Linked DNA regions of Mus musculus: all the other regions are reported to be linked to region 2. Evidence: microRNA targets listed by miRTarBase, many of them from high-throughput screens and not tested one by one. Region 2 holds a microRNA gene; each other region holds the end of a gene's coding sequence.
The links. The annotated mature microRNA mmu-miR-3470b reads UCACUCUGUAGACCAGGCUGG and lies in region 2 at 1,571-1,591, shown strand. An mRNA with a match to its seed (bases 2 to 7 or 8) in the 3' UTR can be bound and repressed. Matches are read on the target gene's strand: a 7mer-m8 pairs with bases 2 to 8, a 7mer-A1 pairs with bases 2 to 7 and ends in A, and an 8mer does both.

Region 1: miRTarBase lists Cd300a as a target of mmu-miR-3470b. The part of its 3' UTR that is shown has no 7-base or 8-base seed match.
Region 3: the mRNA of Sgpp2 is a reported target of mmu-miR-3470b. Seed matches in the 3' UTR shown: 8mer at 2,714-2,721.

Annotation. Positions count from the first base shown.
Region 1 is chr11:114,899,969-114,904,382 of GRCm38, reverse strand. It overlaps Cd300a (CD300A molecule), which reads right to left. Exons shown (of 7, transcript NM_170758.4): 7 at 2,437-3,254. The coding sequence ends at 3,093. Among named protein-coding and RNA genes, the nearest start is that of Cd300a, 12 kb to the right of the region's middle.
Region 2 is chr16:44,012,315-44,016,728 of GRCm38, forward strand. Mir3470b (microRNA 3470b) reads left to right here and starts at 1,538; the gene lies at 1,538-1,663. Gramd1c (GRAM domain containing 1C) reads right to left here. Exons shown (of 17, transcript NM_001359085.1): 6 at 608-723.
Region 3 is chr1:78,416,241-78,420,654 of GRCm38, forward strand. It overlaps Sgpp2 (sphingosine-1-phosphate phosphatase 2), which reads left to right. Exons shown (of 5, transcript NM_001004173.2): 5 at 635-4,046. The coding sequence ends at 1,186. It also overlaps a transcript of Farsb not described here. Among named protein-coding and RNA genes, the nearest start is that of Gm51634, 62 kb to the left of the region's middle.

The sequences.
Region 1 (4,414 bases), not on the chromosome of region 2:
CACTGAGCCTCCTCTCCAGCCCTGATGGCCACTCTTTAGCATAAATTAGGAGCATTCAGCTTTTCAGTTCTTTAGCAGGAAACTGTTACATACATAATACATACATACATACATATACACATACACACATACACACATACACCCATCTATCCATCTACCCACCTACCCACCTACCTACCCATCCATCTGTCCATCCATCTACCCACTCACTGTTTACTGAGGACTGCATCTGAGTCAGTGCCCCTCCCTGCCCACAGTCCTAAAGCAGAGGGGTGAATAGAGAAGGCCATGTCTATATCCCTGTAAACACAAAAGTCTATGTGGGGCAGGGGTTTTGTCCTATGCTTCCCTGTTTCCAGTCTTCTGTCTGTTGTGAAGCAGGTCCCTAAATGCTCTGCAGGGAGTGTATGAAATATGGAATGGATGGACAGATGGATGGATGGATAGATGGATGGATGGATGGATGAATTGATGGGTGGGTGGATAGATGGGTAGGTGAGTAAATAGATGGGTGGGGTGGATGGTGGATGTGTGGATGGATGAGTGGGTGGATAGATGGATGGCTGGGTGGGTAGGTGGGTAGGTGGATGGATGGATGGATGGATGGATGGATGGATGGATGGGTGGATGGGTGGATGGATGGGAGGTTGGGAGGATGGACAGTTGGATGGGTGAGTAGGTGAGTGAATAGTTGAATAAATGGGAGAATGAAGGAAGGAATGAAGAGATTAATGAAAGATGCCCTTGGGCTGATCTGGCCCAGGCAGCAGGAAGAGGAAACAGATGAGGAGAAGAAAGTGAAGGAAGAGACATGTCCATAGGTGATGAAAACTGCCTCTGACTGGGCACTTGGGCCACCCACAATGAGTGACTCACACTGGGAAGCAGGGCTCCCCTTTCCCTACCCATCCCTCCTAGTTGGCAGTCTAATTTAGTCACCCAACTAAACCTTTGTGTCCGAGCTGTTCATGGGCGTAGCCCTCTATTTTTGGCCACAGCATCCCTACTTCCCCTCTTAAGACTCTTAAGTCCCATCTGCGCGTCCCAGTGCCCACTGCTCTTTCAAGAGAAAAGAACCACTGGTGGGTTTGGGGTTATGGCCTGGGACAGAGCTGAGAGCAGATCAGGGCTCTGTTTGCTGTACCCATAGTCCCTACTGTCCTGACACATTTCCCACACACCGTGGAACCTGGCTTTGGGCGTGTATCCATCCGTGTATGTGTGTTTCCCCTTTTATGTCTCAAAACATTAGTACAAGAAGGGGGGATGAGTCATGGGTGTGCATACCACGAGCACATGCACAGGCGGAGGAGGGTGGGGTACATGAACTGAAATCTAAAGGATTCAGGCTGGAGAAGAAAGCCCTTCCTGCCATGATGATAATGGACTGAACCTCTGAACTGTAAGCCAGCCCCAGTTAAATGTTTTCTGCTATAAGAGTCACCTTGATCATGGGGTCTCTTCACGGCAATAAAACATTAACTAAAAAGTCATCCTTGACCACACAGCAAGTTCAAAGGCTAATCTGGGCTATAAAGAATCCCGTCATTTGTTTGTTTGTTGACACAGGGTTTCTCTGTGTAGCCCTGGCTGTCCTAGAACTCACTCTGTAAACCAAGCTGGTCTCAAACTCAGAGACCTGCCTGCCTCTGCCTCCCAAGTGCTAGGATCAAAGGTGTGCACCACCACCCAGCAAGAATTCTGTCTTTAAAAAAAATTCAAAGAAGTCACAAATAGCCATCATCCTACCACTCTGGGGGCAGCTTACCCTAGGAGTTGCTTCTGGCACAGTGTTAAGAGTTGTAAGAAGTGGCTGGAGAGATGGCTCAGTGGTTAAGAGTACCGACTGCTCTTCCGAAGGTCCTGAGTTCAAAGCCCAGCAACCACATGGTGGCTCACAACCATCCGTAATGAGATCTGAGGTCCTCTTCTGGTGTGTCTGAAGACAGCTACAGTGTACTTAGATATAATAATAAATAAATCTTTAAAAAAAAAAAGAGTTGTAAGAAAAATCATTTGGGCAGATCAAACCATTGGTAGCTACTGCAGCCTGGAAACACAGTCATCTTTGATGCAAGTTTAAAATCACCCTGGTAAGAAAACACTCTTGTGTGTTCCATCAAGAACAGCAGTTGGTATGTCCTTCCCAACCCCTTGAACCCCAAAGGCTCCTCTGACTTCAAAGCTGGGCTTTAATAGGGGGCTACAGGCATGTAACAGACATCATTTAAACCATTTCTTCTCCCTTTAAAAAGGTATTTTAGGGCTGGAGAGATGGCTCAGTGGTTAAGAGCACTGACTGCTCTTCTGAAGGTCCTGAGTTCAAATCCCAGCAACCACATGGTGGCTCACAACCAAACATAGTGAGATCTGATGCCCTTTTCTGGAGTGTCTGAAGATAGCTTCAGTGTACTTACATATAATAAATAAATAATCTTTTTTTAAAAGATATTATAAACTTTATTTCATCTTTTACTTAAGAATTCAGAGAAGCCAGGCATTGTGGCACACACCTTTGGAGGCAGAGGCAGGCAGATCTTTGTGAGTCTGAGGCCATTCTGGTTTACAGAGTGAGTTCCAGGACAGCCAAAGCTACACAGAGAGACCCTGTCTCAAAAAACAAAAAATAAAAATAAAAATGAGTCCAGAGGAATTTGCCCCTGACCTTGGTGCCACGGGCCAGGCTTTTGTCCTCAGAGCTTAGGTTTTTTTCTCTGTGAGATGAAGGAGTTGGTGTTTAGTACCTCCATGACTCCCCTTCCTTTGTAGTCTCATGGGTCCCCCACTTTCCCAGTGACCACAGATGTTCTTCCTGGACTGACACTACAAAGCTAACTAACACAAGTACCGTTCTATACGAACCATGTCAATTCCCAGAGCCCCAAAAGAGCAGCATCGATGTCTTCCACACCCAGAGGCAGAACAAAATACAGGCTAAGAGGAGAGAGCCAGTGGGATGAGACTGTGCCCACAGAGCCCTGGCTCCTGCTCATCTTTAGTGAAGCCACTGAGGCTCATGACATTGAGGGCAGCAGCCAGCAGGGAGCCTTGGAACCTGGTAGTCACCACTGAGAGGATCAGGTGACAAGGAGTCACAGGTAAAGGTCAGAGAGTCCTTTTCTGGGCTTCTGGATCTCACTGTACTCTGCTTTCTGGTCCTGAGGTTGATGAAGAGAATCTCCATTGGCGTGAGAATCCTGCCTCTGGGAGTTGAATGCCACGGATGAATAGTGAAGCTCTTCCTGGGGTAATGCCTGTAGAGAGAGACCCCAGACTCATGGCTACAGGAGAAGGGCACATACCCTGGACCTCAACTGCCTCATTGGCCCACCTGGTCAAGCCACAGTGGGAAGTACCCATGCTGGGTATATCATGGCCAGCAGAAGTAGCCACGGTGGTAGAATGCTTCTGATGTCACAGGCTGACTTGACCCAAGGGGGAAAGGAAGTTAGCTTCCAACCAACCGATTTGTAATCATTAGCTACCAGGTGATACCAGGTTGTTGCTGGTCCCATAGCTGGGAAGACATGAGAACATGTCACATGCTGGAGGAAGGGGCCTTTCAGATGCAAGGCGAGGTACCATCTAACTATGGACTGCTGAAAATGAGGACACTGAGCTGCTGAAAGTGAGGACACTGGGTTCCCTGCCTATCACTCATCCTCAAAAGACACTGATGAAGGGCTGGAGAGACTGTCCAGTGGTCAAGAGCATTGTGTGTTCTTCCAGAGGACAGGGGTTCAATTCCCAGCATCCACATGGCAGCCCACGACTGTCTGTAACTCATTCCAGGTTATCTGATGCCCTCCCCCAGACATACACACAGACAAAACACCAATGCACATGGAATACAAATAAATGAGTCTTTTTTTTTTTTTAAGACACTGGCACAAGTGAAAGGAAGTCATAGCTTTGGGTCATCCCGAATGGATGTGGGACAGAACCTCTCATCGTCATCCCCCATGGAGCAGGAGCTGCAGCCTTGGTTGAATGGGGTCAGAGAGGACTCATTTTGATGAGTCACTTTTTCAGTGGTGTATATCCCCCCATCTCCTGTCAAAAACTATGGCATCCCTCGGGGGATCAGATAAGGGTTCGGAGGGCTCTGAGCCTGGGGGTAAGGAAAGGAGTCTCCCCCCCCCCAAAAGCCCTTGATATTTGTATCTCTCTCTCAGTTTCTGTTTGACCCTCAAAATGGAGGGTCTTGGACACACCTCTAACTAGAATTGATACCAAAGAGATGGTGTGGGGGGAACCAACGCAAGACAAAATGTCTGGTTTTGATGTAGTAACTGTCAAGACCATAGATTCTGGCCACTCCAACAATCCCACTTCCTACTCCTAGCTACACTGACGCACGGCTCTTCTAAGGAGACTCTTGCTGACTCTCCTCCTGCCCCATCTTCTGTATAAC
Region 2 (4,414 bases):
AGAATTTTAATGTATTATCTTTGTTTATTGAGGCTATGGTCTCAATTAACATTGATAAGGTACATTTTTTTTTAACTTGGAGAGTTAGTAAAATATTCACACTTCTTAATGAACAGCTGTCCAAATAATCTCTCTACTAATTTCTTTATCACACTATAGCAGCACATGACCCTGACATTACCATTGCTTGCATCCCCCACGGCACGGTCAGCTCCTTTGACTAAGGTGATCGGTGTCTACTGAATGTGGGACACATGCCACGGTGCTAGGGAGACTTTGAGGAAAAGTCATGAAACCACCCTAACCCTCAAATTGCTCTAGTGTCTCCTGTGAGATCTCACCAGCCCCTGCTCCAGATCCTTAATAAAAAGGCTTTCTAGTAGTAAATTCTAAGAGTCATAGCCTCATCTCTAACATTTCTTCACGTCCCACACGTGCTTACCAACTTAGCAAATGAGTCTCTTCTCTCCCAACTTGCACTCTACCAACAAGAGGGCAAACCGCACCAAACGATGAGTTCAAAGAAATTCAGAACTGAAACGACCTACAATGATCCCACTGTGATGGGCCATAATGCACCTTGACACTCTACGTTGCTTCACTGTACCTTGGCTGCACATTTTCTTCAACTGATAACAAGTGTTCCATTTCTTCAGCGTTTAAGCCTAGCTCCGTGCCATAGTTCTGCTGGAGCAGTTGCCAGAACTCCTGTCTGGTCAGGCTCTAAGATGACAGAAACATTGCGTGACTATTGGAAAATGCAACAGATAACGTAACTGTAATTCAAAGCACAAAGGCCAAAGTCAGAGGAGCCGTGGTGTGAGCAGTCAAGGTGTGGCTCGGATAGATCCTGGCCTATTTGTCTCCCTATTTTCTATTTTTAAAAAAAAGGGTTAATGGGAGCTGGGCATAATAGCTTAGTGGTTGAGAACTGCATATCATCCACAAGGCTCTGCAGAGCTCCATCCCCATCGCTGAAAAGGAAAGGTTAAATATGCCCATTTGATAAGAGACATTCAAGAGGAAGTCCCATGGATAAGAGCACTGGCTGCTCTTCTAGAGGACCTGGGTTTGATTCCCAGCACCTGCATGGTGGCTCACAACCACCTATGACTCCAGTTCCAGGGGATCTTCTGGCCATCTCAGGCGCACGAGTGGTGCACAGACCTATATGTAGGCAAAAATGTAAGAATAAATAATTAAACCAAGAGTTAAATCGATAAACAGATAATCGTTTCTCACAGGGTTTAACCACATTCTCAAGGCCGATCTTGGGCTTGAGCTATTCTCCAAAGAAGTTGAAACTAAAAGGCACATTCCACTTAGAAAATGGTGGGTTTTCAAAGTGTGTATTAAAGAGGCTACTGTGCAGAAGTACACTTCAGTAAAGATGCTTAAAGTGATTTTTTTTCTATAAAAGTAAGTTACTTATCATTTCTGCTAATTACTGATCTGAAATCCATACAACCTATGATCACAATTCAGAGTTGTCCTAAATGTTAACTCAGAACCAAATTTTTTTTTTTTTCCGAGACAGGGATTCTCTGTGTAGCCTTGGCTGTCCTGGCACTCACTCTGTAGACCAGGCTGGCCTTGAACTCAAAAATTCACCTGCCTCTGCCTCCCGAGTGCTGGGACTAAAGGCATGCGCTACCAATGCCCGAGAACCAAAACTTCTAATTCACGATTGTATCTGAATATTTTAAGCATTTTTAGAACTTTGCACACCAATGAGCTCCAAATTACATTTTCCTAAAATATAAAATGCAAGAAAACAACCTTCAGAATACTAATTTACTTTTAGTAAATTCTAGCTTGCTTCCTTTATAGACAGCATGTCAGTGGTAAAGTTACCAAGTACAGCCGAGAAATGTACCCGTGGTTAAGAGTGCTTGCTGCTCCACCAAAGGACCAGTGGCCACATCCTAGCTCCCACATGAGGCAAGTCACAAACATCTGTAAATCTGTAACTCCAACTGACACACCCTTCGGGATTCCATGGGCATCACACACACACACCGACCCACTTAAAAAAAAAAAAACCTTAATCACCAAATAAAGCAAGCTGTAAACTATTTGGGAAAATAACATCATATCATAGTAACAGACTGGTCTCCGGGAACATTGCAATTAATTACATGATTAAGCAAGACAAGAGAGAGAGACAGCATGGTACTTGAAGCAACTGTCAATACGATCTTCCATCCATTCCACAGGTCTTTATTGGGAATGAAACCTGTGGCACCGCTCTAGATCCAAAGGGTATAAAAACAATCTCCGAATTTAGTACTCATGTCTGAAGGATACAGGGCACTCTTAAATCAGATGCACATGATCATGTGCTAATGGGCTGGAAGAGTCTATGGGATAGGGAAGTGCAAAAGGAGTTAATATTATTGAGGACCAAGGTGGCCAGATGAGGCTCCACCGAGGAGATAGGCTTCTGGGTAAGCTAGAGGACAGACGGATTCGTGAAGAAAAACTAGAAGAGATGGAGAGAAGACGACCAACCCATAGGGAGGGCAGAGATGGACAGAAGTAACATTAGTTATGAAGCTAGCAAGTAAGTCATCTCCTAGCCCAATCAGAGAAATGTTTCAAAGTTAAGAGGTTGAATGTAAAAATATATAATGGGGCCAAATGTATAAAGGCCCTGAATTCAGCCCCGGTGTTCAGCCCCTACAACAACCACCACCGCCTTTCCCTCCTCCCAGGAGCAGCTCTGTGTCCTGGTTTTTACTAGATGACTCTCCTTACACTTCATGGAACCAGGGAGCTTAAAAGGAAAATGGTCTGGACTTGCGGCAGCTATATCCCAGTTTGCCAAGATGACCACAAAACCAGCTGATGACAATTCAGATGTCATTATCTACACTTCAAAAATGTCAAAAATATTCAAAAACCTGCAATAAAGGAGGCAAGCTAAGAAAAACATGCCTCTTTGCTTCCAGCTGATTATGTGAACGCGGAGTAGAAATCCCAGGTTGGAGAACTCTAACTGAAAAATCACACATCTAGAAAACAAACTCTGCGATGCTCTCTATTTCCTACAACTGTCCTTTTAGCGGATGAAGTCTTCTCAAGTAGAATATCCAGAGAAGAAAAATATAAAGGCCCATTAGTGACAGTTAAGGATGCTCCTGTCCTTGGTCCTAAAGGGACTCGCCTTCTACCCCAGAGATTCTGTGTGGATTCTGTTTTCATAACAATAATTCATACTGTGAATTAACTAAGTCTTCCAGAGACATCATCATTGGAACCGTTTTCATATCGCAAAAGGATGGTTAGATAGCTTTACCAGAAGAAGGCGATTTTTCAGCACAACTGTGTTAGATTATTAACCGTTCACAAAAACTTTTTTTGAAATAATAGACGTTTCCGAAGATAAAAACTAAAGCAAACAAATGACTTGGTGGTGAACACTCAGCTTCCTAACGGTAAAAGACATGCAACTGGCGAGCAAAACCTGAGAACAAAATGCTATTTAAGTTAATTAGCAAGATAATTTCAACATACATTTTCATCCATTAGTTAAATGTAAATACATAATTGGTTAATGGGAAACAAAACAAAACTCATTTAATTCATGGTGCTAATTTGTTAAAAATGACTATTTCTGCAAGGTTGTCCAGCTGTCTCAAAAACGTGACTATTTACAATCACGCTATTCAAACATGCCAGTCTGATAGTCGCAACTTTTTCAGTATTTAGCAGCTGAGCCTTAAAAAAAAACAAAAACCGACCTAAATATTATTTGAAAGTCGACCACCTACCTGCAAAGGAGCGGAGCGGCTCTGGGTTCAGCCTGCAGATAGATAACTTGAGCAAAATAAAGATGAACCAAGCAGTAATCAGATAGGAGTCAAAAGTCAGCAGATCAATTTCTGGCCCAGAAAGCTTGGTATTCTAAGTACTCTATGGAGTCTTTATCCACAGTTAGAGCTTCAAAACTTTGATAACAGCTAAGCAAACTCGGTACTTCAGTTTCCTACTCTTTACGGGGCTCTTCGCCACGTAAAAGCCAGTGCTGTGTGAAGCTTCAGTTGTTGCTTCCTGGTTCTGAGCACCAGCCCTCTTTCCAGGGGGCCGGTCAGCCTGCAGAGCTGAAGTCACACCTCACTCGACAGGTTCCTAAGCCACGCCCACTGGAAGAGGCTAGGGAAAGAATGTTTTATTAAAGGGACGGTTCCGAATTTCTTCTACTGTACACGCTGATTAGCGACAGGGTGCAAATGGAAAGATCTTACATTTGCTCAAATAATGTAAAACACCTACTGCAATATTATTTTAACCCCACGTGAAAATTAACTATGTTAAAACTTAACCTCCCCATGACAACAGTTTTCAATTCAACTCTAGCGAGTCATTGATACCTATTCTTATTCCACATCAGCACTGACCAGTATTCGCTTCA
Region 3 (4,414 bases), not on the chromosome of region 2:
CATTCAAATACCAGGAGTCACAGAAACACCAGTTGTCATTTCTCCCCAATATGATTTGATTCTTCCATCTTCTTCTGAGTAAATAATAGAGTATCTGAAGTGCTGGAAAGCACAGTGCATTGTGATAGTGTTTCTGCTGTAAACTGCCCAGTTTCTTTACTTTCAGGAATGCACATCTCTCCTGTGGTATTTACTCTAGCCAAGTGGGTTGAAGGACCTAATGGGTCACCCATCTGGTAATGTTTACTATTCAGGGTGATTTTTTTTTGTTTTGTTTTGTTTTTTAACTCAGTAAAGAGTTTAGAGCCTTCACACTATCTGCCAAAAAAGGGTGGTGCCACCTGTAAAGACTATGACAATTCTTTGTGACATAAGGGGAATATAATAAGATTACATGGCAACGAAACTATCAACCACTCACTCAGAAAGAAATTCAGAAATTTCTTCTTGAAATACAGAAGTGCTCTTGTAAGAGAGTATGTGACACCATAGCATGGTGACTATGTATAGTATTTCCTATCTTCACTTTAAATTCTTAGATCTATACTTCCTTTGCATACATACTATAAAGTAAAACCATGTAGAGATTGCATTTCCCGTGCTAAGCAGGCATTTTTCTTTTCTCTCCTGGCAGGATATCCTGGGTGGCGTTCTGATCACTGCAGTCCTCATTGCTCTGACCTACCCTGCCTGGACCCTCATCGATTCCCTGGACTCTGCCAGCCCCCTCTTCCCTGTGTGTGTCATAGTTGTACCGTTCCTCTTGTGCTACAATTACCCTGTGTCTGACTACTACAGCCCGACCAGGGCAGACACCACCACCATCGTGGCTGCTGGGGCTGGAGTGACCCTGGGATTCTGGATCAACCATTTCTTCCAGCTCGTGTCCAAGCCCACCCCATCTCTTCCTGTCATTCAGAACATCCCACCCCTTACCACTGACATGCTGGTTTTAGGTCTGACCAAATTTATGGTGGGAATCATGTTGATCCTCTTGGTTCGCCAACTGGTGCAAAAGCTCTCCCTGCAAGTATTATTCTCATGGTTCAAGGTGGTTACTAGGAACAAGGAGGCCAGGCGAAGACTAGAGATTGAAGTCCCTTACAAGTTTGTTACCTACACATCTGTTGGCATCTGTGCCACAACCTTTGTGCCAATGTTGCACAGGTTTTTGGGATTGCTCTGAGCCCAAGACAGTTAGGAACTAGTCCGCTAATGCGAGATGCAAAATGGAGAACGCTGTCGATTCAGGTAATCTCAATGCCTCCTGTTTAAGGAAACCCTAAGTCATAGTTTTGTTTTGCTGATGTAACATAGATACGGCTGCTGTGGGATTCACCTGTAAGGACACCAGGCTCAAACCACAGCTGAGCTCTGCAAGATCACCCCTCCCCTTTCTGTTACATGGACTTGGGACACGGTCTTGGGTGGACAGGAATTGTGGCCCAGTTTGCAATGGTTACAAGCCCCACCAAGCTCCAGAGACCCAGTAGACTTGAGGTACTATGAAGGCAGGATAGTCTTTTCAGTTACAACCTTGCCTGATGCCGAGTCTCAATCCCCAAACTGGAGTTTGGTCTGGGAGTAAGGGTGGCACCATGGAAAATCTCAACTCATTGGACAGAATGGCTTCTTGTGCTGTCATCAGACTGGACTGTCCCTGAGTGGGTGGTGAGACCATTCTAAAATAAAGTTTCCTGTGAGGACACTGAAGATAGTAGCAGAGCCATGAGGCCACCGGAAGAGCTTGCTTTATTTACCAACTCATCTCCTCCAGGAACTATTAGTGAAGCAAGATGCTGATCTGCCTTGCAGACAGTCCACAGCATCCAGTGATTCGGTTTCCACACTAGTGTAAGCAACGCACGACGGGCTGCCAGCTCCTCACAGGTGGAAATGAGGACACGCTGCGACTCCTGCCCTCACCTGCCTCGCCTTCAACACCTTCAGTTGCTTGAGCTTCCACATAAGCCTGGAAGACACTGAATCAGCACAAGAATGGATGAGCTTCGTCCTCTGGAAGCCCTCACACACTGCCTCATCCCTGTGACTTTACCTTTCGTCATTGCTTGGCTACTTTGTATAAATGTCTTCAGTTATTCACCCTCTAGACAAAATCAGGGACTCCCTCTCAGTCTTCCCACTCCTTCTTACCTCTTTCTTGGCAAGATTTTTCAGTTAAGAACTTTAAGATGTTTAGACCTGAAGAATTTTAGCACAAGAAAAGCTGCAGCCTATTTGGAGAGAATAAGCGGGTTAACTGTAGCTCCTGTTAGCCCTAGAATGGTCCTCCTTATCTCCTTAGAGCTAAGAAGGTGTGCAGGACACCCACAGCAGAGACCTCCTTCCCTGGGCTCAGCACTTCGGAATAAGCACCAGATGCAATGACATCCCGAAGGGTTCGAGTAAGTGGTAGTCATTGGTCATTTGAGGGATGGTGTCAGTAAGCCAGTGCTTCACTATATGCTCGTACTGGACAAATCACCCTCTGACCCCCAAAAGAGCTAAGGCTCCAACTTTTGCATTCAGTGTAAACACCAAAGCCAAAATTTTCTCTGATTTTGAGTATGTCCCATGGTCTATGGTTGGAATGATGTTCTTTGGTACTGAATGTAGTGTTTTAATTCCTGAAGAATAATTCTTGGACTGGGCATGGTTTTAATCCTAGAATCAGAGGCAGGTAGATCTCTGAGTTTAAGGCCAGCCTGGTCTACAGAGTGAGTTTCAGGACAGCCAGGGCTACACAGAGAAACCCTGTCTTGAAAAACAAACAAAAAGAATAATTCTTAACAAAATGCCCATTTTTAACTTGACAATTCTTCTCTTCTTCGTCATAGTTAAGAACAGGAATGCAAAGGCCTAGCACTTGCCAGGTTTTGCTGACAGTATTTCAGCTCCGTGGCTGGGGAGCCTGGAGCCCTGGTTTACAGGTGTGCTTGCCTAGGCCAGCCTCCAGTTGTGCATGGCTGTTTCTGTTGTTTCTCCCCCAACCCCCAAGCTACCAAACTAGAGCTTGTAATGCTGGCTTATATTCACACAGGTGATTTTAGTTGGTTTGTCTGAAGCCTAATGACAAAAGGCTCAGCTTCTTCTACGTGTATCTGCAACAGAAGGGCTGTATGTATTGTCACAGCGGTGGATGTGGTGATTAGGAAGTTTAAGGCCCAACAACATGGAAGTTGACAACTGAGTGAATGCATTCGAGGCTGTGTTTACATAATTTAGATGGAGGATGAATATATTAGCCACACAACATTAAACAGTGTCCTAAGAATTTGTCATGACTGGTCACTCTTGGATGGACTTGATACAAGAAAAGGGAGGGAGAAAGTATTCACTGTAGATGCCAAGTTTAGTTTTGGATTCCTACAGTACTGATTTTAAATGCTATGGCTTGATCACATTTTGCCTTTGGTGAGCCTTCTCAATTCACCAAACTCACTTCTTACAGAGCAGCACCGGCATCCTAGTAAAGTCTCTCTTGGGTCTCTTTTCAAAACACTTTGTCAGTTTCTCTCTGGAGAGAGAGTGCCCCCTGCTGGCTTAGCTTGTCTTAGTCCAGAGGCCCTCTTGCACTGGGCTGGCCTGGTCACCAGAATGTGTCCCTGTTAAGTCTAGGCCTGTCCTATGCGGACACCAAAGCTTTTAGCTTCCTCTGGGAATCAGGAAGAATAACACATCCTTTTCTCATCTTGCTACTACTCTGGGCCAAGTCATCAATGTAGAACCGGCCTTCCAAGCCGCTGTCCATTTTGCTCAGACCTGTACCTTATGCTGGAAAAAGACATAGGCAAGACCCTTAACCTAATACCTTTCATGATAGCCACTAAAACCACTTGACACTGTGCCTGGTAACTTGGGTTTTCTTGCCGAAATACACAACTCATCTTCCCAGGATAATCACAGCATGTGGTATTTCAGACCACGTGTTTCAGGTTTCTATTTTGGAAGCTTTCAACTGTCTTGCTTATGCAGTGTATGTAAATTTATTCTTTTTTAAAATAAAATCTTTTTGTTTGAGTATGATTATTAAATGCTTTAAAATCTAATGTTTTGTTTCTGTGGATTTTTTTCTTCCTTTTTTTTCTTTTTCGAGACAAGGTCTCAGTCTGGGACCCAGGTTAGCCTTAGAGAACTAGAATGTTTTCGTAGATAAATGGCTGAGGTGTTTAAACACTCCTCGCACCCCCTCCACCCCAGTCAAGCTTGCCCAACTGTATGTGATGCTTTGTCTGGCTTTAAGCACCTTGATTCGCAATTCAAAGAAGATTGTTCTTAGATTCCCCAGTTATGTACAGGGTTAAGTGAGGCCACATTTATACTAAGAACTGTGTATACTGTCACTCGTGCGCTGGGCACCTAAGGGATGTCAAAGCTCTAGCCTTTTCTGTGGAGTTCTCCCAGGTCAGTGAAG